Linked DNA regions of Alligator mississippiensis. The main gene of each other region encodes a partner of the protein of the gene in region 2 in a complex. Links are inferred from orthologs where the notes say so. Each region holds a gene or a part of one and is shown on either strand. Other genes may lie near its edges. The genes, in order: IER5, PPP2R2A and ARPP19.

Region 1 (8,616 bases), on a different chromosome or scaffold from region 2:
TGTCTAACACAGGGAGAGTCAGTGCCTCCTGACCAGCTGGAACATGGACCTTTCTTCAGTTGTTTGTGGCACAGAAAGCCCTTTAGGGCTTTTATGCATATGGAGCTGTTCCCAATTAGCTCCATGTGTTGACATTTATTCCAAGAGAATGCTACTCCCTGTTCAGCCAAACACTTAGCCCTTCAAGTTGAGTAGGAATGGCTCCATGTGTTCAAAACACCAGTACTACAGAGAAGCTCCCACCTGTTGTCAGATAGCTTCTCAAAAATAAAAAAGGAGAGAAAAAGGTAAGAGTGAAACCCACTGACTGCAGGTTTGAATAGGAAGACCTTGTCCAAACAGAAAAATGCAGGGGGAGGTTTGGTGAAGTACAAGAGTTCTCTTCCCTACACCTTCAACTAAGTGAAGTAATTCCACAGAAGCCAGCCAGCAGGATAGGAGAATAGAAAAAAAAGACAGCTATGTAGACAGCCACTTAAGGAGCTAAAATAAAACAAAAACCCACCACAACCCACCCCCCACCAAAAAAAACAACCACCAAGAAAACCAAACAAACACACACACCAAACCAAGAACACACACTAGCTACATTCCCACTACACCCATTACACCTAAAGGTGACCCACTTGAAATGGAAAACAAATCAAACGTGGGCCTGCGAGGATAAGTGGAGAATATCCTCCCATGGGTATATGAAGTATCAAGATAGCCTCAAAGAGGGTTGGGGAAATTTCAGGAAATCAGATTTTCTCTTCAGGCCTATTAAGAAGTGGTAACATTACTGGAGTGTGATACTGCAAGTACCAAGAGGGGTAAGGGAATAACAGATTTGTGTTTAAACTTCAAATCAAACACTTAACTCCTACAATACTCTGGGAGAACAGACACCCCCCTTAAGAATTTAGCTTCCTTGTAAAGATTGAGACAGAGAGAGACACAGAGACACTATCTTATTTGAAAAGGTAAAACACTGTCTCTCCCCAGAGCCTTCTTTTATCTAAAAGAGTGTACATTACCAAGCATGACAAACATATCATGACAGAACAGAGTCCCTTCTCTCCATTGCTGTTTTCACTCTGCTCTTTCTGTCCCCTCCAGTCTTCTGAGGGACAGGAACTGCATAGCTGCACATCCAATAGTGCAAAACCCTATGCCTCTCCCCCCCCACACTGCTCCTTTCTAAGCTAGGGAAGGGAGGAGGTGTCTCCCATAGACCAAGGTTTCTGCAGTTGATTTAAATGATTTTCCCCAACATTTCTGCAAACTGAAGGATATCCTAGATTGCACAAGACTTTGTAAGGGTTATTAACTAAAAAGGCTGAAGTCTCTCTAACGCCTATGTATCATCATTAAACTGACCGTATCTTGTTAACAAGAACAATTAAATCTGTCTATTCCCCACTGTAATTATTACTGTTCTGGTAAGCCAAAGTTAATGGTGAAAAACAAACAAAGTAGTAGTTTCTCAATGGAAAAGACTTCCACAGGTTATAAGTATGGTATAAGAAAAAAGAGAATTCTTTTCCTAGAAGCTTTTAGTTGACCAAGTTATTTATATTACCACCCAATACCTGGGCTGACTGGACAAGATAGGACAACAACCTTGACTGTTAAGAAAACGTTAGTTATTTTGGCAGTGTAGCAGCTCTTGTCATATTGACTTCTCAGTCCAACTAAAGGAGAGGTTGGAAACTGATGATTTACACATTTTTTTTTATTAAAAGTTCAAATGCTACTGCAGCACTATTCTCCCCCCTCCAACTCACTACAGCCTTACAAGCAATCTCTGGATTTTTTTAAACAACAGAGATGGCAAGAGACCTACTGGGCATACCCCAAGTCAAAACCCCCCAAATTCAGCAGGCAGTTTGCCAAGCCACAGAGCTGAATAGGGAACAAGCTACAGCAAGAGGTATTTCAGATGACCTGGAAAAAAAAAAAAAGTCCTGAGAGGGACTCTCATAATCTTGCCCTAACAGAAGCTTCCTTTCTTCACAGCTCCCAGAGCTAGAAACAAAACCACCCAGACCCTCTGGGTGGATCCAGGACACAGCCACCACACCCTCCTCATCTCCCATGCCCAGCTCTCACCCTTCCCACCCACTTGGCGGCTGCATAAACGACTACAGCTGAACAGTTGAAAATATTTAATACGTGTTACACACGTAGCAATACAATTTCTAATACAAAAAGACAAAATACATCACGGAAGGAGAGAACACTGTACTGTACAACCCCCACCCCCCAGAGAGCCCCAAGCCTTTATAGAACAAAGGCCGGGAGTCCTCCCGCCTGCTGGAGAAGGCTCAAGGACTTGCCCCAGTGTCTGTAAACGTGGTTCTGCTGCATTAAACTCTTGGCAAAAAGCACCATGTAAGTCGTCCTGACCTCCAGCTTCTCCAGAGGCAGCTTTGAGAAAACTTGCCAGGAACTTCCAACTTTCCTGGCTCAACTTACTGCACCCCAAGTGTCTTGGGCCCCCAAGGATGGGGCCAGGGAAGGCTGGCTTCGAGCAGCGATCGCAGCAGGCAGGCACGGAGGGGCTGCTCCTGCCCTGCTCCCTCCAGTGCAGTGCGTAGGAGGAGCGAGCGGGGGGCTCCCCGGCGCTGCTCCCCACTTCCTGCCTGTTTGCAGAAGGAAAGCCCCTTCTTCCCCAGCTGGTGCACGGGTGCAGCGCAGCGCTCCGGCCTGGGGGCACCCCGCAGCCCGGGCCTGCGGGGCAGAGTCCTGGGCGCGGGCGGTCAGAAGGCCACGATGGCCGTGCTCCAGGGGTTGAGGTTCCGCAGCACCGGCTCGTCGCAGCAGATCTGGCCGGGTTCGCCCGTCGCCGCCTCCCCGCCCGCTGCCGCTGGTCCGTCGCCGGGCGCCCCTCGCCGCCGGCCCGCGGGCTCCTTGCCGAGCAGTCCCGAGAAGCTGGAACCGAAGATGCTGATGAGGCTGGCCACGTTGCCCGTCTCCATGTCCTCCGCCGGCTCCGGCTCTAGTTCCCCCTCCGCCTCGCGGCGCGGCTTCTTGCGCGGGCTGCCCGTCGGGCCGCGCTCGGCCGCGCCGCGCTTCCGCGGGCAGGGGGGCGGCGCGGCGGGCTCCTCCGCCTCCGCCGGGCAGCAACAGGGGCAGCGGCGCGGGCTTGCGCAGGCCGGCGGCGGCGGGTCCCAGCAGGCGGCCGGGTGCGGATGAGGGGCGGGCCCGCGGGACGCAGCGGGCGGGCAGCCGGGCTCGCTCAGGTAGACCTGGCGGGCGCTGCGCAGCACCAGCGACACCAGCAGGTTCTTGTGCAGCTTGAGGCCGCCGCGCTGGCCGCGCGCGCTGTAGATCTTGCCCAGCGAAATGCTGACGATGCGGTGTGCCTCCAGCTTGAACTCCATGGGGCACTGCGCGCCGCTCCCCTCGCAGCCAACTGAGCCAAGCCCACGCACCAGCCGCCGTATATACCGCCGCCGAGCCGGCCAATCAGGGCGCGGCGCCGGGCGCTCCGGCCAATGAGGAGGGAGGGAGCGGGTTCGAACGCGAGTCCCGCGGAGCGGGCTCTTAAAGGGGCAACGTCCAGCTGCGGCGCCGCACACGTGTGCGGGTAGGGGGCGCGTTGGCCCTGCTGCTCGGGTCTCAGCAGCTGCGGGCTGGGCCGCGTCCTGGGCGCTCCGGGGCGGTGGGGCACTGTGAGGGGCCGAGGCCAGGCTCGCCCCGAGGCCTCTGCCCCGCAGGAGAAAGGCGGGCGAAGCCTCTCTCTTAGCTGTGATCTTGCCTAACGCGTATACCGCGTGCCCAGCCAAGGAACCGGCCCCACTTTCCAGCCCACCATCAGCCTGTCGCTTCCCCCCACCCGGTGATGGGGCCCCAAAGCTTCGCTGTGCCCGGCTGTCTGAACCTGGTGCCACAAGAGCTGTGGACCTCCAGCCTGCTCTCCCTAGACCAAAGCACAGGGAGCAGCTAGAAATGGAGGCTTAGCCAAGGTGGCAGTGGGCCAACAGCAGCCCAACACCAACACCAGGCCAATGCGTCAGTGGAGTGTCTGGCTTTCAGCGAAGCTCCCTTGAAACCCCCAACCAAAATCTGATGCCTTGTCAGTTATCAGCCACAAAACCAGCCCTCTGCATGGTCCGAACACAGCGGTGCCCCTATCCTGCACTCAGGGTTGCTTGCCTAATACTTTCCACTGTTGCCCTCAGTTATTTATAGCTTTACAAACTAACTTTTAGGGCTGTGGTTTTCCACTCCCACTATTGGTCTCTTGGCTGACTGAGTTATTTTGGGGAGGGGGAAACTTTAGCCAAGGAGATTCAGCTATTTCTGCAAACAAGGTCAGGGAATACTTTTTCCCCTTATAAAAAACTCTTAGAGCAGATTCACGAAGAATACCCAGCATCACCATGTTTTGAAAGGAGAAACCTGAGATCTGGGATGAGAGCACCACTGCCTTCTCAGGGATGCGCCTTCTAGTATTTCACCGGACAAACAACCTAAATATAACCGAGTTCTACAACTCTGAAAAAAACTCTGTTTGTATGCGTTTGGGAGAGACTTGTTAGGGGCATTTGGTAATTAAATTCCCATCAGAATCCATCTGCCCAGAACATGCTGCAGCCCCTGGGCACTCATGTGGGTGACATGTCATATCCCCACTGAATCAACAAGTGTGCACCAACCCAGAGCTCCTGGGTGAAGAATAACTCCCTAGAAATTGTGCCTCCCAACTGTTGCTGTGGTGCCAGGCACTGCAAACTATAGCAGAGTCACCATCTATGCTCTTGATGCTGCTCAAGGAACAAGGATAATAAGCTGCTTGACTCCAAAGCAGGGAAGAGCTGGGGCCCATTTAGGGTACAGGCAAGACAGAGCCATCCTCTAGGAGTGGGGAAATACCAGCATAGAGAAAGAAGAGCAGAAGCAGGTTCCAGAGCAGGAACGGGAAAAAGCAAAGGTAGAGGCGCACCTCTAGAAACCCAGGCAAAGAGGGAACTCAAACTTGGGACCTCAACCTTAGCAAGCCAGCTCACCTACCACTGGGCTACAATCTAGTGGCTACCAACATGCCTCCCACTCCACCCCTCAGTGGGCAAGAGGCATTCCAGGGAACTAGGCTGGAACCGAGACCCCTGCAGCACCACTAAGAAAACGTGGCCAGCCCTGGTGGCCATTCCAGGCTGTGGCCCCTGCATTTACTTGGATGCCATCCAAGGCAGCAGCCCCAACTTCAAGCCACCCCTGACCTGAAGCTTCTGTTAGACATGGGAAACTTGCTTCTCTCCAGGCCTCTGCCAAAGGAAGGGGACAAGGCACTATGCTCAAACTGCACTTTGTGCAAGTCCCTGATATGGAGAGGGTTTCTCTAACCTGCTGAGTCTGCACTGGGCTGGGCCAGTCCCAGGGCCACTTCTGGGCTACAGGAGGACAAGCACTGAAGTTAGAAGCCATCAGACAGGTAAAAGGACTTAAATGCAGACCTTCACTTTGGGCCAGCATATAGCCACAGCACGGCTAGGTGTATTCACCTGGAATAGGGAACAGCTGGGTTCTAAAACTCTCCTCTGCAGCTGAGTGAGAGGCAATGCCTACCCCAGGCTGAAGCCCTGCCCTGAGTCACCAGGCTGTGCTGTCGTGCTCTTTTCTTCAGGCAGAAAGGACAATAGAGCTTTTTGGTTCGAAGCATAGTCTTTGCTTCCCATCTCAAGCCTGCTTGTAGGGGGTTGACTCAAGGGACACAAGTCTGTACTGTGTATCTCAACATCACAACTCTGCTGCTGACCCAACTTGGGGAGCAGTTTGGTTCCATGTGACAGAAATTCTGTTGTGTCCAGCTGGCTTTTTTGAAAGCCTAAGAACTTACATTAAAAAATAGAAAATAATATATTACGCCTGCCAAATTAAACATTCAAAAGTCAAGTGATGCAGGAATTAAGGCTGTCTGTGAAAAATGTAATTCAGCTCCTGCTGTGCATAGTCTTTAATTACCTGATCACATTTCATTTTTTCCAGCATACCTCTCTCATTCAGTATGTAGGAAGGATGGTCCTGAGGGGATGTATTCACAACTGCAATTTAGGTCAGTGGGAACTATGCTCTGAACATATAAACTGTCATATAATACTAAGCACTCTAAAAATCAGGCCCTATATAGCTCAACCTGGGCACACAAATACAAAGGCTTTTCTATGTAAAACTACACGTAACTCTCACCTGTCCATTGTTACATATCAGTAGTTAATAATCCACTGTTGATTGCAGGGCATCTTATACATTTCTCTTCTATAGCCTTTTTTTAAGATAACATACAAAGTCTCTTCTCACAAAACCATACTGTCTGTCGATTCTACTTCTCTAGATTGCTGCTTGTTACAAATCACAGTACTACTTGCCACACTTCTGGATTTCAGAAATATCTGTTTTCTAACACTAGTCAGAAAAAGACAGAAAAAGGAACAGCATTTTTTTCTGAAGCACTTCAGACTTCTCCCTGGATTCCTAAGTATTTTTCTCAGCCTCCACTGGCATGCTAACCAACATATGAAGGCTATAAATGGAGTCAACTGGGGGTGGAAATGGGAACATCTGTGAGCTGAAATGCAGCACACAAGGAGAGCTTTTACAAGGAGCAGAGTAGAAAATGAACCATTATTTTGCTAAAAAAGGCAGACTGTCCTTCCTACATAGGCAAATACCCGGATGGAATTTCTCCATAATCCCAACAGAGTCCTATGTGTGTGGATTCCCCAGTAGTTACTGAATGTATTCCTATTCCTTTGGTTGTATTCTTTCTCTCCCACACACAACAATTCACCCTTTATGCACCAATGACTCCAAGTTAGCCTGTCCTGAGGTAGAAGCTCACTAGCCAAAAGTTATGCCAGCCATTTTTCCTTTCAGGAGTACTGTTGAACCAAATGCTGGCTCTCACCCTAAGAAACCCCCCCGCAAATACATTAGACAGTATCTTAGACTGGAAGAGCTTCAAAATGTATGTTTTCCACTAAGTCATCAATTATAGTTTAAATCCAAAATGAGTTCTGAAAACAACAGAACCATCTCCCAAAACATGGTTTGGTATCCCCTAGCCTCCCCACAAACCCAGCATAATACAATTCTCATTACTGTAATTGGGAAACCTTAAAACATGCCAAACTGTGAAAGCTACAGTGGTACAAAATCTCTTTTTATGACTTGGAAATTCTTTCACTTTCTTCAACAACAACAGTCTTTCTCAAGTTATGGAGAACACCGCAGTCATGTACATGCCTCACAAGTTGTTTGTTCCCTGTGCAGTCTTCAGCAAACAAAGAAGGAGAAGGAAGTAGGATCATGTGAAGGGAAATGACTGATATAAGGAAAAGAATTGGCTCCCATTTCTAGACCCAGTGAACCAGATTCTGTATCATGATCCTATGCCTCAGGACGTTGACAGCTCTACCTCTTAAATAAAGACCTAACCAGAAAAGCTGAGTCTGGGACTGAATGCTTGGAATTCCAGTTGGTGGTATCTATCTATAACAGCCTTGTTCACATTTGATATATTGCCATGTGTCCAGGATGTGACTGGCGGGTGTTAGGCTGTTACAAGTCAAGTTAAACTCTTTTTTGTGACACCAGAAGAGTCACAGATTCTTCAGCTTGCAGGATCTGGGTCTGTGATGTCACTCAAAGATGATTCCAATTTGAATGTTAAGGTTTGTTAGTCTTTGTTTAGGGGAAATTCATATTGATTTCCTGATGCATATACCTGATGAATAAAGTGATCAGCATTGGTGAGGGAGTGCTTTCTTTACCCCAGAAACCTGACTTTCAGTAGCTCCCACACCTGAGTAAAGCACCCAGCCTTTGGAGTTTACTGATTCATTTCATCACTGAGTCCTCAGAAAGATTGAGGTGAATCAAGATTAGAGACAGAACAGTGCCAAAACCTGAGATATAAAGCCTCCTCAAAATGTTGGAACTAAAGCCACATTATTGGTGATGTGCTACCAACATTTTAACCGAAGACTCATGCAGGTATTTCTACTGCATCAGCAGTAAAAGTGTTATTCCTTGGGTAAAAAGCGTCTTGTGAGATAAAATCTGGTAGTGCTGAAAAATCGTAGAGATCCTTGCTTGAAAAACACTTGTTCAGCACTCCCTGGCAGCCAGGATGATTGTCTTCCATGACTGTCTTATCTGTGGGTCCAAAGATGGCTGATGAGGCTGATAGGTGAATAGCAGACTCTGTTGCAACTTGGGCTCATGTTTCTGTGTGGGGTGGGTGGCTCCGGATTCTTGATTCACTCTGCGAGACTTTTTCTGCTGCTCCTGTTTTTCCCTCTCCTGTTGTCATCATAAGGTTTCAAAGTATTGAGATCCTTGCAGCAGACTCTTCCTCCATTTGTAGCAATCCTGTGTGATAGTCTCCCATGAGTTGATGCCAACATTGCCTTTTTCAAGTTGGCCTTGAGGATGTCCTTGAAGCGCTTTCTCTGCCCTCCTCTTGGGCATGCTCCTTGACTGAGCTGGGAGAATAAAACTTGCTTTGGGAGTCAGGAGTTGGACAACCAGATGATGTGGCTGCCCCAGCAAAGCTGATGTTGGATGATCATCGCCACCTCAACGCTCATGGTGTTTGCCTGCAAGAGGACGTTCATGTTGGTATGTCTA
Region 2 (10,157 bases):
CTCCACTTTTACTGATGATGTTAGCTAAAAAGCTAAGCTGTCCAGTGACTGCAAAGGGAAAGGTCAAATTCCATACAGACGCTGAATTTTGCTTCCTTAGTTCCATGTACTCACTTGCTAGCTATTTTAATTTTACTTCTATACCTTTCCAAAGAGACAACACTAAATAAAAAGAAAAATGTTTTTAATAATCAGACTGCTAGGATGGCTCCTGGTAGTTCCAGCAGTTGTGGGTAAGGATACAATTCTGACACTTGCACATGCACAATTACTTAGCTTTGATTTCACTGGGACTACTTCTATGTATAAGCATGTGCATTAGTGATTGGGGGCTGAAGACTATTGGAAGCATGCTAGTTTTTACCTTTACTTGAACAGTTAAGGCTAAATTCCCTTGGCCACTGGGACTAGGGGTTTTCAGGGCTTGACAGATCAGTTAATTTGAGAGGAGTGAAACTGGATTGACTGTGAAGGAAAACCCATATGGCCAATGTATCAGTTTGTGCCAATTACCATGCCACTTAGCTTAAATACAACTAAGGGCCTTGGCTGTGCTGGCCATATTTATGTAATCCTTGACTTCAAGTAGTGCTGCAAGAATATGGCTCACCTATTCAATGCCCCCTTAAGTTGTAAAATATTCTACCTGCAAAACATGATGGAAGCTTCATTCATTCAAACTGGAAACTAGTTTACTTGAGAACATACTGTAGGGAACTATATGCACTGATAGATAGAAGAGCCTAAGGTCACTTGTAGGCTATTACAAACTTCTTTATTCTGTGATAATAGCATCTTTGTTTCTAGGATTGTTGTAATTCATTATACTCTTGTCTATGGGTCACATTACTAAGAAACTACAGCACATACAGAACTTTATTCTTGGAGGTTTTTTAGAGAGAGGTTTGATCGTCTCAATTTTAATATATTTCAATTAGTTATTCAACAAGATTAATTTAGATTGTTTTACTTAAATTACAATTGTGATGATTTATCTACTGTGTACGTATATACTACTGGCCATTAACGAGGACTACTTGGCTATGCATCTTAGTTTCATTATTGTTACCGGCTAGCAGAGATTTTGCTTTTCTTTAAGTACATGAGGCCTGGCTATGGAGCTGAGGTGTCTGGATTGTAAATTTGCAGCTGCTATATGAAATTCTCTGTGCCACAATGGGCAGCGTAAAGGACTTAGATAGTAAGTTATCTGGGTAAAGTGCATCTTCTGGTCTTTGTATAGCACTTAGCAAAATTGGCCCCAAGTTTAAAATCAAAGCTCATAGTTGCTTAAAAGTTATGTCTGTCAACTGTACTAAATTAAACTGTAATTAGTAGTTATGTCCCTGAACTTTCACCTAGTTTAATTTATATGTAAATAGTAAACTTGTATTATTTTTTCATAAAGTTTACATGATAATTTTTACCGATTAATTTAGTAAATATGTCTAACAAAGCTCTGTGCTGTGAAAAGCTCCTTGGAACTTGTTGCATAAATGTAATATTTATAATTACTAATAATAGTTCTAATTTCATAGGTAGTGAACATATGATTCCCCTGTTTAAATTAGTGAAGCATATGCATGTAGTTAAGAAATTTTGTGAAACTGTAGTAATTTTGCACTAATAATTTACACTAGCATATGACTGCCAAATCACCAAATGCATACAAGCAAAGACTACATCACAAAGGTGTTCCACCAGGTAATAAGGCTGTGATTTAATGTTAATTATTTATATGACTTCATTATGTTCTGTAGCCAAGTTGTTTATAATACTAAAACGTATTTTTTAATCTCACAATGTTTAAGTGAAGAGTCATATCTTTTCTAGAGGAACTTTGCTAGTTACAACAAGTTGTAATAGTTTCTTTAATCCACGATATAAAGCTCTAATTGCATTTTTTTTTTTTTAATTGCAGGATTTTTTAATCCACAGGAACTCCATGCCAAGGGCTGAATTAATTTCTGAAGCCCAAATTAATGGATTAATTCAGCCCTATTTGCAAAGGAGGCTCACTAAGTGTTGGCAAGATGTCTTCCTCCGAGCTGTGCAGAATGTTGTCAAGTCATTCTGAAAGAATAGGGATTTACCAGATTTCATTACAAATTTTAAATCTGGTCCAGGCTGGAACAGCCCTTTGTAGAGACCTACCACATAGAGGTGGAGCAGATCATAATGTCCCCCGAGCTCTGGGAAATGTGGAACTATATTTTTATGGCTGTCCCTCAACTCCCCAGGCATCCAACAAGCTGTGATCCTGTTGGCCTATGAATATCCTTAAGCTTTGGCTAAATTTGTCTCTGGACTTCTGATTTGCTCTGATGCCTACAAATAACACGTGGCAGGGGAGATAACATGATGATGGTTTCAGCCCATGTGGTTTTACTCACTTGGCCGGGGATATTACAAGTATATTACAAATAAAGTAAGTACTTACTTACTTACTTACTTACCCTTTTTCTCCACCTTGTGGGTACAGACAGAAGTGCAGCTCCCAGATGTAACTGAGAAGGCTTTGCAGGAAGCCTTCTGAGTTACAACTGATGTCCTGGAACAAACTGAAGTTCACTGTTGGCTCCAGGGGGAGGGGAATCTAGCTGCTGGCTGCCAACCTGCCCCTGGTTTCCCCTAGCAGTGGCCCAGCCTGTTTGTTTCAGGATGGGAGAGGGGAAAGGGAGCAGAGGGAGCTCATTCTAGGGGTTCCCCAGCCTTTTCTGGAGGGTGGGGTGGGTGTACTGGAGCCCCCCAACCTCGGAGGGCTCTAATACACCTGCCCACACTCCAGCAGGGGCTGAAATACCCCCAGACTGAATTTCCTCTGCTCCCTTTCCCCCCCCCTCCCGCCCCGAAAACAGCTACAGGCTGGCAGGCAGTACAGACAGAAGTTATAAAAGACTCTGTTTCCAAATGTCTTGATCTGACTGACCCTGCATACAATGAGGGGTCAGATTTTCACGTGATTGGCCATTTTTGAAGCTGTCTGCAGCCATGTACTTATGTTTGGTCACCGCTATAAACTGCTTTCTATGGCCAGATCTGGCAAAAAAATGTCACTTCTGTCTGCGCTCTGGATGACTTGGTGTGGGGTAACGGCCTGTCCCTTGCACTGCAGGTAGGCTGACCCCTGCTAGAGTCCACGAAAGCCTCTTGCCTACCCCGTTTATGGTGCTGGGCAATTGCTCTTGGGCTTTCAGTGGTTCCCAGTCTGTGGCACGGGTACCACCAGTGGTGCACATTGACAGATGTATTATAATTACTCGACGTGACCAAAATTTTCTGGTGGTTGAACTGGAAAATTTGCTGGTGGTACTTCAGGCTGTATTGTTTAAAACTCACGGTGTGCAACCTGTCCGAGTTCAGGAACTGCTGCTAGCTTATTCCTTCAGCATTTTGGCTATGGGGAAGCGGGACTGGGAGCACCTGAGCCCCAAGGCCTCCAGGCTCGGGGCTTGCATGCTTCCCGCGGATTCGGGAGCATCTGAAGCCTTGGGCTGAAGAGCAGAAAGGTAGGACACTTGCTGCCACCAGACTTGAGCTCTGTTTAGCGGGCAATTTGGAGCCCATCTGGCCTGAGATGTGACATGTAGATTAAAAACGAGACAAAAGGAAGCTTACAAAGAAGCTCCCTCAATTTTGGAGGAGGCTGGCTGAGGATGCCAATGCAACTGGTTTCTCTGGCCGGGGTGCATCCCTGCTGCCTAGCGGCTCTGGACCCAGGTCGGAGGGAGCCTTTGTCGGGTATCTGATTCAGTCGCAGTCTTGCACGGGGCCCTTGGCAGGACGGTGCCGGGCTGCTCCCCCTCCCCGGCGCCGTGGCGGGGTGGGGGAGGGAGGGCAGCCCAGCCGCCGCCTCGGGGGGAGGTGCCGAGACGTGTGTCGGGGTGGCTCCGGGCCGGGGCCCGGGGCTGTGCGGTGCTCACGTCTCCCAGCCGCCGCGCGGGAGGGCTCGCGAGGCCGGGCCCGCCTGCCCGCGCCCCCCGCGCTCAGTTCGCACCCACCTCCGCGGGGCTGCAACTGACGAGGCTCCGAGCCGAGCAGCGGGGAGGCGAGTCCTGGGCGGGCCCCGCCGGGGCTCCGCGGGGGCTCGGCCGGCGCGGCGAGGCGACATGGAGGCGGCCGTGGGGGCGGGGGTCGCCTCACGGGACGGTTGGGGGACGGTTGGGGGCGACCGTTGGGGGGGGGGGGCGGGCAAGACCGAATCAGCGCCCCGCCCCCTCGGCGTTCTCGCCCCTCCCTCCTCGCTCCGGGTGACGTCACCCGCAGCTCCGCCGGCGCCATTTTGAAAGTAGACTCTTAGAGGGGGGGGCAGGGAGGGAGCCAAGAGCGGGCGAAGCTCGAGGAGCCGAGTCGGTTTCACCCCCCCCCCCCCCGGTACAATCTGCCGCCATCCTCCTCCGCGGCACCCCCCCGCCCGGCAAACGGGGGCGCTTCTAAGAGCGGAGACGTGCCACTATCAGACCCGGCCACCATTGGGAGGCCAACATGGCAGGTAAGGGGAAGGGAGCCCCGTCCTTCCCGGGTACCGGGCGCTGCAGCCCGGCGAGGGCGGGGAGCGGAGCGAAGGGGGCGCAGCTGAGGCCACGGGGCCGGGGCGCGTGCAGGGAGCCTTCCTGGGGCTGCACATGTCTGCTCCCTCTTTCCCTTCCTCCTCTTTTTTTCCTGCATTTCCCTGCATCCTGGAGCGCAGTGTGCAGAGTCCGTTTCTCCCGCTCCTGATTTCCTTCCTTCCTCCCCCGCCGCTTCCCCTCCCTGCCAAAAGATTTGCGTTGCAAAAGGGCAGCGGTGGGGTGAGGCGGGGGAAGTCCTGTGGCCCTGAAGTTGAGTGTGGAAGGGGGTTCCGGGTAGGGTGGGTCTCTCCTTTATTCCCTGTTCGACTTTCTGCTTTGGGCCGGCAGATCTCTCCCCCCCCACCCCCCGCCGCCTCCCTGGAGCGCAGGCTGGTGCTGGCGGTGTAGACAGGGCTGACAGAAAATGGTGTTTGAGTGCATTGGCATCCTATTGTAGAGCTCACCTATAAGACATCTGCAGATAAGAGTCAAATCAGACTCTCAAATAAAAAATACCTGCTCTTGGGGTGGGGGTGGGGTTCTCTTTTTCTTCTTTCTCATTTTCTTCCCCATTTTGCAAATGGCTTTACTTCATGTACAGAAGTGTGGTTGGTAGGACACGATTTTGTTTTGTTTTTTTACTTTTCCCCTTTGAATTATTTTTTTTCGGTGCTCTCTTCCTCCTTCTCTGCAAATAAATTGCATTTTTTATTCTTTGCATTTGGGGAGGCTCTGTTTAGGTTTGCATCTTGCCTTCTCCCCTACACTACAGCTCCCCTCTCTCCACCCATCCTTGTCTTTTTAATCAATGGAAACAGGGTCTTGAAGGCAGCAAGTTGTTTGGAAAATGAAATTCAGCTTGATAGTTAAGGTGTGGTGGCTTTTCCTGCAAAATGTCATCCTCAGAATGCTTCCATGATGTGAAGTGCTAAATAACAAATATCAGAGGCTGGGTACAAGTGAGAAATTGAGGATTCAGGTTTTGGGGAGGTGGGAGAGATGGTGTGGTAGGGTGTACTCCAAGCAAGTATTTTTCATAGGTGAACATCTTCGTGATGCTTCCTATTGCTGCAGCTCAGTCTAATTCACTAATCTCTTGGTGCTTAAAGAACCACCAAGTTCAGACTCTTGTCTGATCCATTTCAAATGCTGGATTCCCCTCCCTAGTGCTGAGGCTGGCTGTTGATGATGTTTCACGGAGAAAGCAGCTTGCTTCTTCATTCTTAAACTTAATTTAACTTGTTCCTTCCTGCATGCCCCTTGTCCCCAGAAGTGGTTTAGCAAGCACTTTGCAAACTGCATATGTTGCTTAGTCCTGGGTTATCATGGCTGGGAGGGAAGTCTCTCTTAGAAAGAGCAAGCTCATTTCAGTCTCTTCCTGTATGTACCAGCCCAGTGATTTGCTCAGCATGAAATGTAAAAGAAATGGGTGGTGGATTCCTGCATGTTTTGGTGGCAAGGTTCAAATGAATCACTGCCTTCCGCTGAAGCAGTAATGTTTCTGAAGCTTTCTCTTCGATCCATTTTCTATGGTAGTTACATTTGTTAACTTTAGGTAGATTTCAGGGATTTGATGTCTCTCTTTTTCCTCTCTCTCTCTGTCTCTCTCTCTCTTTTTCTCTTTCTTCCCTAGGCCTTATATTTACTCCTGGTACTTCTGTTGGGGAATTGCAGAGTTGTTGTAAAATTTCTCTAGTCTTTAAGTATTTAGTTGTTGTAACATTTTAAGGCAGCCAAAATGAAAGTCAGTTTTCTTTGAGATGTGCAAAGGTTTTAAATGTTTGTAATGTTCTGAAAATCATTCCTGGACCTAGTATTTATTTTTAAATGTAAATCACTTGTAAGTAGAGATCTGTTTTTTAGGTTTTACTGAAGTTCTGAAGTGGAAAAATGCTTTGATGCGAAATAAGCTGCTGTTCTTTTGTTTTCACATAGCATTGTTCATGCGTTCTCTTTTTAAACATAGCATAGTTTAACATTTAATTGTAATTATTTTGGTAGTTTTATGACTTATCTAATTGTAGTGAAAAGCTTCGATCATTCTTAGCACTACTTTAGCCAGATTGTGCTTTGAATACAAATTGCGAGTGACAAGCGGTATCATTTTGGGGGAAGCACTTTGTAATCAAGATTTTGGCAGCTCTGCTTTGGCTTGGGAAGTCTTGGTGGTGGGTGTGTACAACAGGCTCTGAATTGTTGCTTGCCAGCCCTAGATGCATGCTGCCTCAACTGGAGCAAATAAAATTTGCAAACAGTTTTAACTGGGGTCTCTGCTGCTTTTTTTTGCTTCCAGGAGCTGGAGGAGGAAATGATATTCAGTGGTGTTTTTCTCAGGTGAAAGGGGCTGTAGATGATGATGTAGCAGAAGGTAAGAAAAGAACTTTTATTTCTTTAAGTTACCTGTCATTATCAGTTCTGGCAGTGGCAAACATTTTTAAATAATCTTCTCTGCTGAAGTGTCTTTGTGAAAATTGAACTTTATTTTTATATAACTATAACAAAGTAGGTAAAAGCAGTGAAAAATTAAATGCATATCTGAGTTTATGTATATTTAGACTCCAAGACTTGCATCTGGGGTATGGTGGGTCCAGCTTGGGTCCAAGCTCAGATATGGTGTCTATAACTGACTGGACTTTTTTTCAGTCACATTTCGTCCGTGTGTTGCTTTACACAACTTGCTGTCAAATGGCCACTATTCTCAGTTGTGACACTGCTATTTATTTGTTTGTGGGGGTTTTTTTACATCCATCAAATATAGATAGTGATGCTTGTTCATATTCCTGGCACAGGTGTTTGAAGATTGATTAATGTTTGTGTAGCACTTCTAAAGACAGACGGTGCTAGATAAGTCACCTAACTTTGTTCTGATCTTTCTGTCATACATAACCATCAAGACTATCTTAACCTTTTAGCAATTAAACATTCATTGTTGAGAGGTTTTGTTTTTAGGACTAAAGTTATTAAAAACAGCCTTAAATTTTTGTAGTCAGGTGTTCTTGTATGGCCAGACATGGATGTCACTTTAGCAATGAGCCTGGTTTCAGTTCTGGGGAAAAATTCCACTTGTAGTTTTCAAATGTTACTTGCTTTGCCTAAGCCCTTTCTCACCATTCAGATGGCTAGGCTGAATGGAGGCCTAGATCCTGCATGCTGCTCTGTAGGGCTGGATACCCAAGCATCTGTTTTGCACAGACCAGCTTGCAAGATCAGGAACTAGAAGAATTTTGTCTTGCAGGGAGTTGTCTTCACTGTATGTAATTTGGGTCAGCATTGTATAGGCTTTGCACTTTCTAACTTGCAGACAAGTGTTAGATTTTCATTGCTTCTAGGAAAGAAGTAATTAACATTCTTTCTATTACTTCAGCTTTTTTTGAGTTGTGGTTTGAAGTACTCCAGGCTGGGTAAAATATGGACCATGGGCTGGGTCCAGTCTGCCAAGGGATTTTATCCGGCCTATGGTGGATCCCTCAGCCCTGTTGTCCCAGGCTCGGGGCAGTCCAGGCTATGGCATGTGCAGCCGGTCCTCGTGCCTCTGGGCGTGCAGCATGATTGCGGCAGCGTAGCAGCTGGGTTCGCTTCCCAGCAGTCCCTGCAGCAGCACCTCCTTCCAGCTGCCACAGCCAGTCTCTGCTACCAAACTCAACCCTGCTGCCAGGGCACCGTGACCTGTCTGCCCCACACCCACTGCTGGGGTTGCCAGACAGAGCAGATGTGTGGGGTATCCAGGACCCCCATGGGCAGGGCGTGCTTTGCTAGGTAGATGGGATGAGGCCATGGGTGGGTGAGGAAGGGCATCTGGGAGCAGGGCAGGCAGACTCCCAGATGTTAACAATCTGGGAGTGGGGCTGGACGCAGGGCTGGAATCTTGGGGTGGTGACAGTGTGGGGCTGGGGCCCCAGGGCAGATCCCCAATCCATTGCCTGTACACCCCTGCAGTGGGTGCCAGTTGTGCAGGCAAGGGTGTGGGGCGAGTATATTGAGGCGCTTCCCCTGGCCCTGCACTTTCACAGCACCGTGATCTCAGCCCTGGCCCCGCTGGCCTGTTCCACTCCCAGATGCTGCTGCTCCCTTGCCCACCTGTGGTCCCATCTGTTTGCCTGAATGCACCCTGTCTGCGGGTCCCAGGCTGGTTTCCATGGAGACCCTGGGATTGCTGGGCAGTGAGAGTGTGGGGCCTGGGGCATAGTCGCAATATGCTTCCCTCACGCCCCTTCCTGCAGAGCCGGCACCTGTTGTAGGGGTGTGCAAAGAGTGGATTATGGCTTGGTTTGGGGCACTGGCCCCTCGATCCTGATCACAGTTCTGGCCCCGCTCACCTCTCCCTCTGTCCCCTACCTGCCCATGGCTCCATCCCATCCACCGGGCCAAGTGTGGGGCAGAGCCAGGGAGGGAGTTTTGGTGAGCTGTTTGCAGGGGGTAGGAGTGGGAGGTGTTGATTCTCACTCTGCCCCAGGACAGCTCACCAGAACTCCTTAAGTGGACTTGCGGCCAAAATAATTGCCCATCCCTGAAGTAACCTGTGAAAGGCTAAATGTTGTCTAGAATTGCTACAAATGTAGCAGCACAATTGTCTTGTTTGTGGTTTTTGTTCAGGAAGCATGTTGCAACATGTAACAATAATAATGCCATTCAAGGATTGTCAGGCACTTACAGAAAGATGAAGTATGTGTCTCTTGTCAGAAAACATCAAATTGCTCAGTAAATATTCTTAAATCCTGATTTCTAGATTACTGTTAAGTATTTCCCCTGCCAGGTATCTTTTTCTGGTGAATTTTGTTTCAGTTGGAATTCTTTAGCTAGCTAATTTCTTAATTAAATGAAGAAAAACTGGGGCAGTAGTGACTGCCTGTAGCAGTTGCTCACGAATATTCCTACTAATGGATTGGGCATATAACCCAGACAGTTTGCATCCCTTCCATGTAGTAATAGTGGTGTTTTTCTGCATTTCTGTGTATGAATGGGTTTTCCAATGATAGAGAAATCTGAGAGCCATGAAATTCTGTCCTTAGTTGTTCCAAAGCATTATAGTATGAAAGATGATTTGCCAACTTCCTGGCACAGTTGGACCACTACAATATCTCGTCACAATAGGTGGAGTTTATTATCCTTAGCTGTGAGTGTATTAACTAGCTTGGATTTCATCAAGGCATTTGGTGACTTTTTAATCTGTGTATATGTTGTCCATTTTTGTTCATTCTGTTGATATACAGAAAGTAAAAGTCAATCTTTGGATAAAATGAAAGTATGTTATGGTTTTAAAGGGACTAAAATTGACTACAATGCTTACTTTCTTAAACTTTGAAATAGGTTTGTATTTTTTTATTAAAAACAAACAAACCTCAGTTTGGTGTGCCAGAGCCTAATTGATTGGTTTTGTGCACATGGAGGGGCTGCTGAAGTGTGTCTTCTGTGTGAGAATCCTGGATCCTAATGGATTTGTCAGGCTTGAAAGTCACTTTTTACTCATGACCAAGCTTTTACATGGCATGCTGAGAGCCCTTATGGAACTGTTACTATGTATAGTTAATCAAAACAACTCTTAGCTTCTATCTAAGTATTTAAAGGTAATGGTAAATTTGGGAGAGATGCCTTATAACTGTAATACTT
Region 3 (10,797 bases), on a different chromosome or scaffold from region 2:
GTGATGAATCTTTACATGTGTTCACCCTTTTGGCTGTCTACAATACCACTCTGCGTGAAAGCACATCTGCAGTTACTGGTTTTATTCTTCATTCATTTTATACAAATGTAGAATTGCATTTGCACTGTAGCCACCAAGTGAAATGTTACTAAAAATCACAAGGTCAAAGAAAACAAATGTTGTAACTAGGTTAATAGAAAAGGCTTTGCATGTTCTAGTAGCAGGAAGTTCAGTTATGGCTCCCATAGTAACTGTAACAGTTTGCTGCTATTTTGGTGTGCATAAGGTGTTTAAGTTCAGTTGATCAGAAATATAATTTGCTATTTCTGGATGAGGAAAATTGTCCAACTTCTGCACACTCCCAGCCACACACCTTGCAGACTGCATGCCTCGCTGCACACTGCACCATGTGTTATCCTGTCCCCTCACTGCAGTGCCCCCCCTCCCCCACTGCTCCACATGTCACTCCTCTTGTACTGTGCTGGACATTGCTGTGCTATACAGAGCTCCTGGGTCTTGGATTTGTCTCATGGTTGCACAGTGTAAATTTTAACTAATGCAGATGATTCTAAATGGATGAAGCTGAGGAATGAACTCGGTGGCATCTTGAATCTAAAACTTGCATCCACTTTTTACCTCCAGTAGTGAATATAAGCAAGAAGGTTGGGGAATGAACTAATATACTCCTATTTATGTGTTTGGTTCTAACTGTTCCTGGACTTGGAAGCTGCTGCTTGGGTGTGTTCCTGCCACACAGTCTTCTTTCAAGCAGTAGTCCACTTCAGATATGCAGTACTTGGTTCCGTGGCATGTGGAACAGGAGTACCTTCTGTGCAGCCCTTTAACATCCCACATTAATTCCTTTTTTCTACATAGCTGTGCAGTAGTTGTCAGACTGCACTACAGGCTTTTGTCCCCTGTGCTCTCCTAAGGACTTCACTGAATAGAAGCAAAAGATCAAGAATATTGAATCTAATTATTGGACAGTTTCATTTTGTAACTCTATCCAGTTACTGCCTATTATTTATGTATTTTATATATAGTGCACACACGCATGCATGTGTGTGTAAACGTATTCAAACACTTCATGGCCTTAATTCCTTTAATTTACACACTTGAGAAATGGTAGAGAAAGATTAATCTGTTTGGATGGTTAGCAGCTAGTCAACATTAAAAGAAAATATTTACACTGTATAAATATTGCTTTTTAGGTTCCAGAGTTCTAAATCTGGAAAGATCTACCTCCACAGAGATGTACGGCTCCTGTTCTCTCGGAAATCCATGGAAGTTGATAGCGGCGCTGCATATGAACTCAAATCATACACTGAATCTCCAACAAACCCTCAATTCTCACCAAGATGTTAGCAAATACTGAAAATGGAAGTATTCATTTTACTATCGGATTGCTGTCTAAGAACAAAGATTGGCATAGAATGCAGTATAAAATTCAATACATAAAGAAATTAAAATAGTGCTCAAGTGAGAGACAAGGCTCGTCTATGATTCTGGACCAGTTTTTGTAAAAGATTTCTGGAGTGAGCTTTGTGTATTCCAAGTAGACTGGAAGCATACTTATGTCTAATCTTTTTGTACTGTTTAAAACCACTTCATTGGATGTGTTGCAATAGCAAAATCCCAAGTTAGTTTAGTGTTTACACCTTTTATTTTATTTTTCAGTTATTTAATATTTAATGTTTCATTTAATACTCAAGTGATGTTTGTCTTTAGTGTTCTAATGTAGCATAAATCCTATGTAAAATCATACTATGTATTTTTGGCATTAATAATATTGAAATCTGAAATATATACAGAAGTCTTTAAGTCTGTGTGATGTGTTTTTAAGTGATATTCATTTAAGTTATTGAAAATGAGGATGGAATTTGAACTTCCATAACATTATCATCCTAGGCAAGCATGTGGATTTCCTCTTGTTTTTAATGCTCTAGTTTTTGATGATACCTCATTCTCATTGCTTTCCACACAGATTCTATTAACATCTCTTTACAATCATAAAGCAGAATGTGTTTTAGCTACTCACTAGTTCAACTCATTGACCCAATTCATATTTTGTTCCCTGTGTTTCTTTTTTTCACTTAAGGGCCACAATCCCAAGAGTTTTGTTTTGTTCTAGTTATCAGTATAAACATTTCACATAAAATTCCTCTCCCATACCTGATTTTTTCAAATTGTGTCTAAAGGAAAAAAAAAAGATGTATTGTGCAAACAAATTAGTATTTATATCCTAAATATATGCGGAAACTATGAAACTTGTAGTTTGGTTTTATTTTCAGATGAGGAATATATTCATGTGGGTTTAGGTATATTTGATAGATGTCTTCTTCCCCTCTCTTTTCCCTTTCCAACTTAGGCTAGCAGGGGCATTTATACACATACATGTAGGGGATGTTTTAATTAGAGTGGCTTCAAGAGCCACTCTAAAGCACCCAGAGTGTCTTGTGTATCACCATTCCTGTGGTTTAAAATGGTGGTAGGGGCGCTTTACCTAATGCTCGTTGAAGCAGCTTTAGTTAAAGCACCCCCTCTGCCATTAAGTGCAGGTACACTGATACATGAGACACTGGAGTCTGCTGGAGCATGGTAATTACCATGCTCCAACAGACTCGATTAATTGAGTCTGCTCGAGTATAGGGGCCCTAGGTGGTTATATAAGGTTGGACTGCATTAGTAAATACTGGAAAATTAGTAAATACTGGGAAGCCAAGCAAATGATTTTTTTTTATCTTCTACCTGTCTACTTCCCTAAAACAAAGCACTTCCCCAGATCATGACAGGCAGTTTACATGACAGCCTATTTTCATAAAAACAGTATTTCAAAATAAAGCTAAGTGTGTCATTGTTGGTTCTCAACCTTTTTAGGCCTAAGGCACCCCTTGGAAAAAGGCCAGCTTCTAGTTTTCACTTGTTTTGACGAGAAAAGTACCAAAGTAATTGGTCAGAATGTTTTTTGATGCTATGGATTCTTATTTGAAATCTCTGGATTTATCTTGTGAATTATGTTTGCACACGTAACGGTTCTAACATTACAAGGGTGCTATGGGGTGCCATGCATAGTTGAGCTAGTGAGAAAGCTACCCTTTTCACTTTTCTTGACTTAAATTGAAGCATATATTTAATATTAATGCTTAATCTTTTCAGTATTTTGCAAAAGTTTTTGGATGCTCCCCACTTGATATCCAAAGTCTTGTAGTTATTTTTACAAAGTTATTGGCATAAAAAGGACATTTACCTATTTGCCAGTAACTTCAAAGGCTTTGGAGAAAGGAAATCCTGGCATAGGTGGCAGAAGATGGGGCTACCAAGGCACAGTGCCCCCCACCCCACCCCTGCAAACATAGGGCAGCAGATATAGCTGCAGGGCAGCCTGGTCGCAGGCTGCTGCAGCAGGAGCGGAGGGGCGTGCATACAGCCCTGGTGTGTGGCTGGCCAGCACAGCAGATAAGTTTCAATCTGTCTTTGTGACTGGGCTTGGGGGAGGGGCAGATTGAGACCCCCCACAGTGCAGGAGGTAGTGGGGCAGGGGCAGGGTGAATCATTCACCCCTGCCCTGCCCCACTTCCTCTTGCACTGTGGGGATTGTCACAGGACCTAGCCCAGCCAGGGCCACATTTGCTGTGAATGGGGCCCCAGTCAGGCCAGGTCATGGGACAGTGGGAACCTGGCGGCCCATCTAGGGGTGTGGGGGTGGGTGCTCCTGCTGCTGCATGCATCGTGGGGGGGCTAAAGGAGGGGGTGGGCATGTGCAGAGGCATGGAGCAGAACCCAGCCTACCCCCTCCCTGCCCACAGATCAGGGGGCATGTGCCCCTACCTTGGCTTGACCACACTGTGCACAGCGGTGGGAGCCTCGTCTCCCCACAAGCCCCTGGACAAGCCACCAGGTTCCAAATGTCCCACGATCTTGCCCAGCTGGGGCCCCACGGTAAATGGGGGCTGGGCTAGGTCATGTGACAATCCCCACAGTGCAAGAGGAAGTGGGGCAGGGCAGGGGTGAATGATTCCCCCTGCCCCTCTTCCTCCTGCACTGTGGGGGGCTCAATCCCCAGCCCCACTCCCTCCTTCACGGCTGTGGGGGATGGGGGGAGATTGAGGCCCCCGTGGTGAGGGAGGGAGTGGGGCACAGGCAGGAGCAGGGGCTGGGCTGAGTGGGGCCCTGGCCAGCTGGGTGGTGGGACAAGCAGAGGCCTGGGGGACACATGCCTTCCCATCTGTGTGTGGGGTGGAGGCAGTTGCTATTGCCGTTGCTGTTGTGTTCTGCGCTTTGCTCCCTGCTACAGCTGCCCTGGGAGTGGCTGATGCCATGTGCCTGTCACTGCTAGGCTGTGTCGCGCACCCTGCCTGCCCAGCAGTGGGATGCATACAGCATTGCAGGGCAATTTGGCCAGGGGGTCTCAAAGCCCAGCATGCAGCAACAGCATCTGCCTCTGCCCTGTGCACAGATTGAGGGGGCACATGCCCCCTGGGCCTCCACTTGTCTCACCACCCAGTCTGGCCCCAGCCCACCCCAGGGCCCCACTCACCCCAGCCCCTGCTCCTGCCTGTGCCTCTCTCCCTCGCTCACCACTGGGGCTTCGATCTGCCCGCCACACCCTGGCCCTTTCTTCTCCCCCCACTGCTTCCTCCACAGACTTACCTGTATAAGGGAGGTCCATGAATATGCGTGCACGCTCAGCCCCGACAAATATTTTTTTTCTCCCTCTGCCTATGAATCCTGGTTAAACATGTGGGTCTGTGCTCCTTCCATTAAGATGAGAACTCCACAGATCTTGCCTTCTAGAAATCTACCAGTAAATCTAAGGGAGACTAGTTTTCCTGGTTATTTCTTTCTGGGTGTTTTGTCTGACTTAATTGCAGAGATGTGCAGGACTGACTATAGGGTAAATATTGTGTGTAAGAACAGCAGAATAAATGTGTGAAGGGCTTAAAGAAATTCTGTTCATAACCTAAACTTATGTCTGAAACATTATGAAGAAGAGCTGTATGAGGCACATCCAGAAGAAAGCAAAAACTGGCAAGGCTGGAGTTGAGATTCCCAGCAGAAAAAAAATACAGCCAAACAACAAAAACCTTAGGGGGTTTCTCTAATACTCTATAAAGTGCTGCTGATTATAATTCCAACAGGAGAGAGAAAAACATAATGTACTCTATAGGGTATTGCCAGCTCTCATGAATTTAATGGAAATAACATGTTTTTGGTCCCTAGGTCAGGCTACCTTGTGATGGTGTGAAGAGCTTTCATTCAGTTATAAGATCAGAACAGTGCTCTCAACTAGAATCCTCTGATCTTGGGGAAGGTGCAGGGTGCTGAAAATCTCGAGAGTAGGAGTTTAAGTTCCAGCTCTTCAATTCTGCCGTTAACATACCTAGGGGCAGTTACCCCCAAAGATGGCAGCCACATTTGAAGGTAAAAGAACCTGAGGTCCTTTCAGACAGAGCTGGCAATAGAAGCCAGGTCTCCTCCTGTTCACTGCAAGATTTTCAGAGGAACTTGCCAAACCTTATGTGTCTAATTCATACTAACAGAATGCTTGTCACTCCCTGCACCTAGACCAGATACTAAGGTTTATGACTACTACTGCTTTTGTATTCAGTCTGCTTTTTGAGCCCAAGTGGTAGAGGCTCAGGCTTAGGCTTTTTTGATGTGTGATCCCAAGCCCAGGCTACAACTACAATAAGGATGTCCTTCCATTTGACAGTTGCCTAGAGTGAGTGTAGCAGTCAGCTCCCAGAGTGGGAAATGGAAAGCAAATACTAATATCTGAGGTACAGGTTGCAGATACTAATATCAGATATTCATTATACTAACATTACTAATATTCCATCGCTTTCCCTGAGTATTTGTGTAACGGGCTGGCAAGGCACCTGGCCCTCAGGCTTCTGCAAATGGATCTCCACGCTTGCCCCTGTAAGTCTTGAATTGCAACCAAGTCATGGGAAGGGGCAGATGAGAAGAGAGCCCTGCCTAGCCTGATGGCCAAGCTGCTTCTGTGGCAACTCCATGTTGCAGACTGCGGATCCCGGGCCATGTGTTTCAGAGGCAATGCAATGTGTGTCTTGCTTTAATAGAAGCCATCCCTTGGGTGCCAGCGTTAGAGATACTGGTGGGACCTGAGCATGAACACCTCATGCCTCGCGAGGCTGGGGGTCATGGAGGCAGCAAGTGGGTACTGCCGGCAAATGCCACCGGCAGCGGAGGTGGGGGAGGCGGCGAGTGGCAGCTGCCCGCAGGCACCACTGGCAGCGTTGGTGGTGGTCAATCTCATGGGGTGCACGTGCACCCGCATGCACCCCACCAATGCACCCGAGGGCAGAGGCGTGTTGTCCCGGGGGCGGGCAGGGCAGCCCTGCCTCAGGAGCTGCACAAAGCTAGGCTGACGCTGTTCTGGATGCGTCAAGTATCCAGGCTGTAGCCCTATTGGTCTAGAGGAAAAAGCAATCCGGGCTCGTAGAAGAGATGGTATCTTTTCTTAGATCAACAAGATTATTGCAAAAAGAATTTTTTTGCGATAATCTTGTTGGTCTAATAAAATACGTCATAGCTACTACGGGCGCTGATTACTCAGTTTCGGAGCAATTTGGGCCCCGAGGCGGCGCTGCCGCCCACCCAGCCGCGGGGCTCTAGCCCTGGCCCCGCTCCGCAGGAGCGCCCAGGATGAGCCCAGCGCGCAGCCGGCGGCACCGCCCCTTCCGGCCGTGCCCTAGAGCCCCGCCCCCGTGCCTCTTCCAGAGGACATGCAGCCGCAGCAAGGCTTCCTACGATTCCCGTCATGCACCAGGGGACGGGAGTGGATGTGACGTCATGAAGCGGAACCCGCGAGAGCCGGAAGCGCCTTCCCGCTCATTCACTCCGGAGGCGGGCGGCGCGCTGGGCAGCACGGCGCGGAGGAAGTGTGGTCCTGCCGGCTCTCCGTCGGGCGTGCGGCGGCCATCTTGTGCGGGAGGTGGTCGGCGCGCGGCAGCAGCGGCGGAGACGGCGGCGCTTCCTCCAGCCCTTCGTGCGCCTGCAGCTGGCGGGGGCGCCATGTCCGCCGAGAGCCCCGAGCCCGCGTCCGCCGAGGAGCAGAAGGTGGGCGCCACGGGTGGGGGGAGGACGCTCCCGGGGCCCGGCGGCTCCGTGCTTCGCTTCTAGCAGCCGCCGGCTCCTTTCCGCCGCGGCCCCGGGCCGATGAGACGCCGCCCCGCCCCTCCCCTCCCCTCCCCTCCCCTCCCCGGCCGCCCGGCGCCTCCTCTCGCGGGCGGGGCGGCTCTGTGGCCGCGGTGAACATGGCGCCCCCTCGGCGCTGGCTCCCGGGGCCTGCGGGCACCGCTCGAGCTCTGCTCCTGGACAGTGCCCCCGGCCCCGCCGCAGCTTGAGGCCCGCGGGGGGCGGCGCCTGCGCGGTCGTGCGCACCTTCCCCCCGCGCCCCGTGCTCGGGGCTGTAGCCCGTACACTAGAGCTGGCCCGGGTGGGGGGGGCATCGCAGCTCCGTGGCTAGGAGCACCTCGTCCTTTTCCCACGGGCATCGAGTTTCCTCTTTCCTTCTTTTTTATATTTTTTTTGTGCTCCTTTTGGAGTTGCTTTTCTTTGGTCTTGTCCCAGCCCTGCGGTCTGCTCAGGAAACATTCCCCGACCGAGCAGTCGCAAAGGGTTCCTGAAATGCTGATGTTGCTTGAACTTTCCCCTCTGCTGTCAAAGCTTTGGGGATAGATTTGATTTACAGTTTGAAGTCTTTCATCCAGTCTTCGGGTTTGCTGACCTAATCTGGCTGGGCAGGTAGGAAGAGCAGACTGATTGCACTATGTTAACTAGCTCAACCCCCCCTTCCTCTTTCCCCTTTTCCTGTATTTCACCATTTTATATTGCTGTTTTTCTGTAATTAAGGGATGGTTAGCTTTGGAAAACATTTATTGGAAAAAATATCCAAAATGTATTAAAGAGGTAACCATAATGTACTCAAAGAGTTATTTTGCTTGTCTTTCAATGAAAATATGTCAGGAGAACACTTGTAGGAAATCATGCAAAAACACTCTTCAATTTCTTCCATACAGTTCTGAGTCAAGTCAAGTGACTTAATCTGGAGACTGTTTCTAATGGGATCCTTCAAATTTCAGGACATGGGCATCATCCGTGTCTAAACGTTGTTTGGAAGTCCAACACTGGTGCTATTTGGCTGCAAGAGTTATTGTATTAGAAACAGGTAGCATGAAGCATTAAGTTAAATCAAAGTGAAATGCACTCACCAATCATCAAAAATAAGTTAAATTTGACTGGCATCTCCACGAAACGCTACATCGCTGTAGTGATGAGCTATAGGTAGCTTGTTGCTATGGTGACATAGCTTCAGCGGGTAAGAACTGTGATGCTGACACTACTGAGCAGTAGCATCAGAAACTACCTGTGTGGCACCGGGACTTCACAGTAATGGTGGTTATTGCACAGTCATTTAGTACTTGGTTAAGGACTGATACAGTTAAGCAAGCACTAAGTGACTGCACAGTCTGGCCCACTGTGCATCAGGCCAGGGCACTGTGCTATTGGAGTTCTGTAAATGCCTTTGACAGAAGTTTTTTTAACATTTAAGAAACAGGACACATTTTAATCCCACATTTTGTGAACTGGTGGTTCAGATTAAATGTTCCTTCAAGTATTGTGTTGCAAGTTGGGGATACCTGTCTCATGAATGTTTCCCAGTTGTTAACTAATAGTAATGAATAACAACTTTTTTTCAGGGCTGTTTGCTTTAAAATCTCTTGGTCCCTAATGTGCACTATGGTAAGGATTTGAGACATTTGACCATCTTGCATACAAAGAACAAATTCAGGAGCTCTTTGAGCTGGGACCCTCCCCCAAGCAAATAAAATGACATATTTATAAAAGAGAACTAGAAATAATTAAAGATTTGGCAATATTTTTCCCAGGTACAAGTGCCATATTCTAGACTAATTACCATATTTCTACTGTATCAGAACTGTAGCTTTTTGCTACTTAAGTAATTACACACCCTGAGAATAAAACTGTATAAAATTTTAAAGTACAGAACTAAATGTTGTTTCGGTAAATGGTACAGAAATCCAGTAACTGTTTACACTACAACCATTTTACTTTCCAAAACTGTCTTTTATTGAAAAAACTGACCAGCAAATAAACCGTATATATTTGGAAATGGTCTTAAACTTGAAATAGCCAGGGATTTAGTGCTAGGGTCTTTCCCAACAAAAAAAAAGTACAACAAAATCTTGAAGCCTGTGCGCTCCAGAATAGAGGGGTGAAAAATGTTAAATAAGTTGAATATTAATTGAAATTTTGGTTGCATCTAAACTGGAGGTGGTTTTATTGTGTTTTTTTTTCCTCCTCTCTCCTGCCCAAGACAGTGCCCCCCAAACTCCCACACAGTGTCCCAACTCCCCTCCCCCCCACAAACATGTGAACGGTGCCACATATTGCCCATTCAGCTGTTCTTTATACTGCAAGGGAGCAGCATGGTGGGGTTTTTTGACCCCTGGATATCCAGGAGTCAAAAAACCCCACACAAAATAAAGCAGTGGTACATGTGGGGACAGTGTACGCTGCTTAAAACAGGAGCATGGTTGGCCAGAGCCACATTCCAGCTGCTAGCCAGGCTCCGAGCAGCAGGATTGCCACTGCTGCAGCTCCAGGAGGACCCCAGGTAAGGGTGGCCTCAGCCTCCCCTACCCTACCTAGGGCAGCCTGTATACCAGAGGGCATGTGGCATAGGCATTCTCCCTGGGGACAGCTGGCAGCAAGGTGTGCCGCTGCTGGTTATCCCCAGGGAACCAAACGTCCACACTCACGTGGACATGGCCTATATGGTTAAGAAAAGCCTCTTGAAGTGGCAGCTGACTCCTGTATTGAATATATCTACCTTTGCTACAATAGTTTGTGTTGTTTGATTAACTTTCATTTATTTTCTGTAATGGTTTGTTTTGGTGTTTCTGATATGCAGAACACCATGCTCAGATGATGGTTTAAGCAGCAGTGTCTGTAACCTAGTTGTGTTCCCCTTCTCACCCCCATCCCTCTAATATTAGTCCCTTGCTCAGGTGATTTGTATTTCCCTACTGGCTTTGTCATCTTTTTGTATTCACAATCCTAAACATCTACTAATAAAATTCAGTCATCTAGCTCAGTGGTTCTCAGCCTTTTTGTACCAGGACCTGTTTGTAAACATCAATGTCCAGTCCTGACCCAGTGCTCCTCATTCCCAACATGCAGGCCCCTGGTGTGTGTGTGTGTGGGGGGTGCGGTCTGGGGGGAATTCTGCCAGCATGCAAGGGAGACACCATGATTTTCCATTGTTTTTTCCTTTAAAAAAAAGTGTTCATCCTTTTTTAAAGTTTGTTTGCCACTCTTTCATACATTCATGTGACCCACTTTTGGGTGGTGATCCGCGGGTTGAGAAGCCTGATTTAGCTGATATTTTTTGTGTCAGCCATCTTGGCTGCCTTTCAGCATTGGGTTGCAGTAAATCTATTTTATTGACTATGGAAAATTTGTTGAGGAGCCTAGCTTTAACAACACGTTAAGTTTCTTGGTCTTGAGACCAGTTTTGTTTAGCATTTTCATTAAGGACCTTGGAACATGTAAGTGTGCTGATGAAGTCTTAACAGTATCTCCAATTAAGTCAACTATATAGGGAAAGATTGGCATATTAAGAAAGAAATTGATTATCTTCATAGGTTTCATAGATGTCTAAGGTCCGAAGGCTTCTATTAAATCATTGAGTCAGACCCCTACTCCAATCTTAAGGATTGGAGTAGTAGAAATGGGTTGAAACCAACT

The links.
Region 1: the proteins of PPP2R2A (region 2) and IER5 are in contact, whole or in part, in a cryo-EM structure (PDB 8UO5), measured with the Homo sapiens proteins. The link is inferred for Alligator mississippiensis from reciprocal best matches to the Homo sapiens genes PPP2R2A and IER5. Residues at the interface, in NP_002708.1 of Homo sapiens: Glu91, Ile92, Glu93, Glu94, Asp116, Tyr178, His179, Asp197, Leu198, Met222, Leu225, Thr226, Glu227, Val228, Thr230, Ser247, Phe280, Phe281, Glu283, Ile284, Ser287, Cys334, Tyr337, Glu338, Asn339, Asp340, Phe343, Lys345; in NP_057629.2 of Homo sapiens: Ala7, Arg9, Ile10, Ile13, Ser14, Lys17, Arg25, Gly26, Lys29, Leu30, His31, Lys32, Leu34, Leu35, Val36, Leu38, Val39, Leu40, Arg41.
Region 3: the proteins of PPP2R2A (region 2) and ARPP19 are in contact, whole or in part, in a cryo-EM structure (PDB 8TTB), measured with the Homo sapiens proteins. The link is inferred for Alligator mississippiensis from reciprocal best matches to the Homo sapiens genes PPP2R2A and ARPP19. Residues at the interface, in NP_002708.1 of Homo sapiens: Lys18, Gly19, Ala20, Asp23, Asp24, Asp29, Ile31, Thr45, Asp47, Gly49, Arg51, Val53, Phe55, Val73, Thr76, Gln78, Glu81, Pro82, Glu83, Phe84, Leu87, Lys88, Ser89, Glu91, Glu93, Tyr178, His179, Asp197, Leu198, Asn221; in NP_001293124.1 of Homo sapiens: Lys42, Pro43, Gly44, Ser46, Phe48, Leu49, Arg50, Arg52, Leu53, Lys55, Lys58, Tyr59, Phe60, Asp61, Lys75, Pro93, Asp97, Leu98, Pro99, Pro103, Leu105, Val106, Ala107, Ser108, Lys109, Leu110, Ala111.

Annotation. Positions count from the first base shown.
Region 1 is NC_081828.1:52,564,647-52,573,262, reverse strand, and holds IER5 (immediate early response gene 5 protein), read right to left. Parts: upstream 3,417-8,616; 5' UTR 3,366-3,416; coding exon 2,742-3,365; 3' UTR 2,133-2,741; downstream 1-2,132. UniProt on the Homo sapiens protein: Plays a role as a transcription factor. Mediates positive transcriptional regulation of several chaperone genes during the heat shock response in a HSF1-dependent manner. Mediates negative transcriptional regulation of CDC25B expression.
Region 2 is NC_081830.1:23,494,671-23,504,827, forward strand, and holds the start of PPP2R2A (serine/threonine-protein phosphatase 2A 55 kDa regulatory subunit B alpha isoform), read left to right. Parts: upstream 1-6,030; 5' UTR 6,031-6,045; coding exon 6,046-6,082; intron 6,083-6,843; coding exon 6,844-6,918; intron 6,919-10,157. Other genes in the region: EBF2 (transcription factor COE2), read right to left, coding at 4,002-4,111. UniProt on the Homo sapiens protein: Substrate-recognition subunit of protein phosphatase 2A (PP2A) that plays a key role in cell cycle by controlling mitosis entry and exit. Involved in chromosome clustering during late mitosis by mediating dephosphorylation of MKI67.
Region 3 is NC_081834.1:23,356,271-23,367,067, reverse strand, and holds the start of ARPP19 (cAMP-regulated phosphoprotein 19), read left to right. Parts: upstream 1-6,876; 5' UTR 6,877-7,038; coding exon 7,039-7,083; intron 7,084-7,344; exon of another isoform or gene 7,345-7,770; intron 7,771-10,797. Other genes in the region: ATOSA (atos homolog protein A), read left to right, coding at 1,212-1,365. UniProt on the Homo sapiens protein: Protein phosphatase inhibitor that specifically inhibits protein phosphatase 2A (PP2A) during mitosis. Inhibition of PP2A is enhanced when ARPP19 is phosphorylated.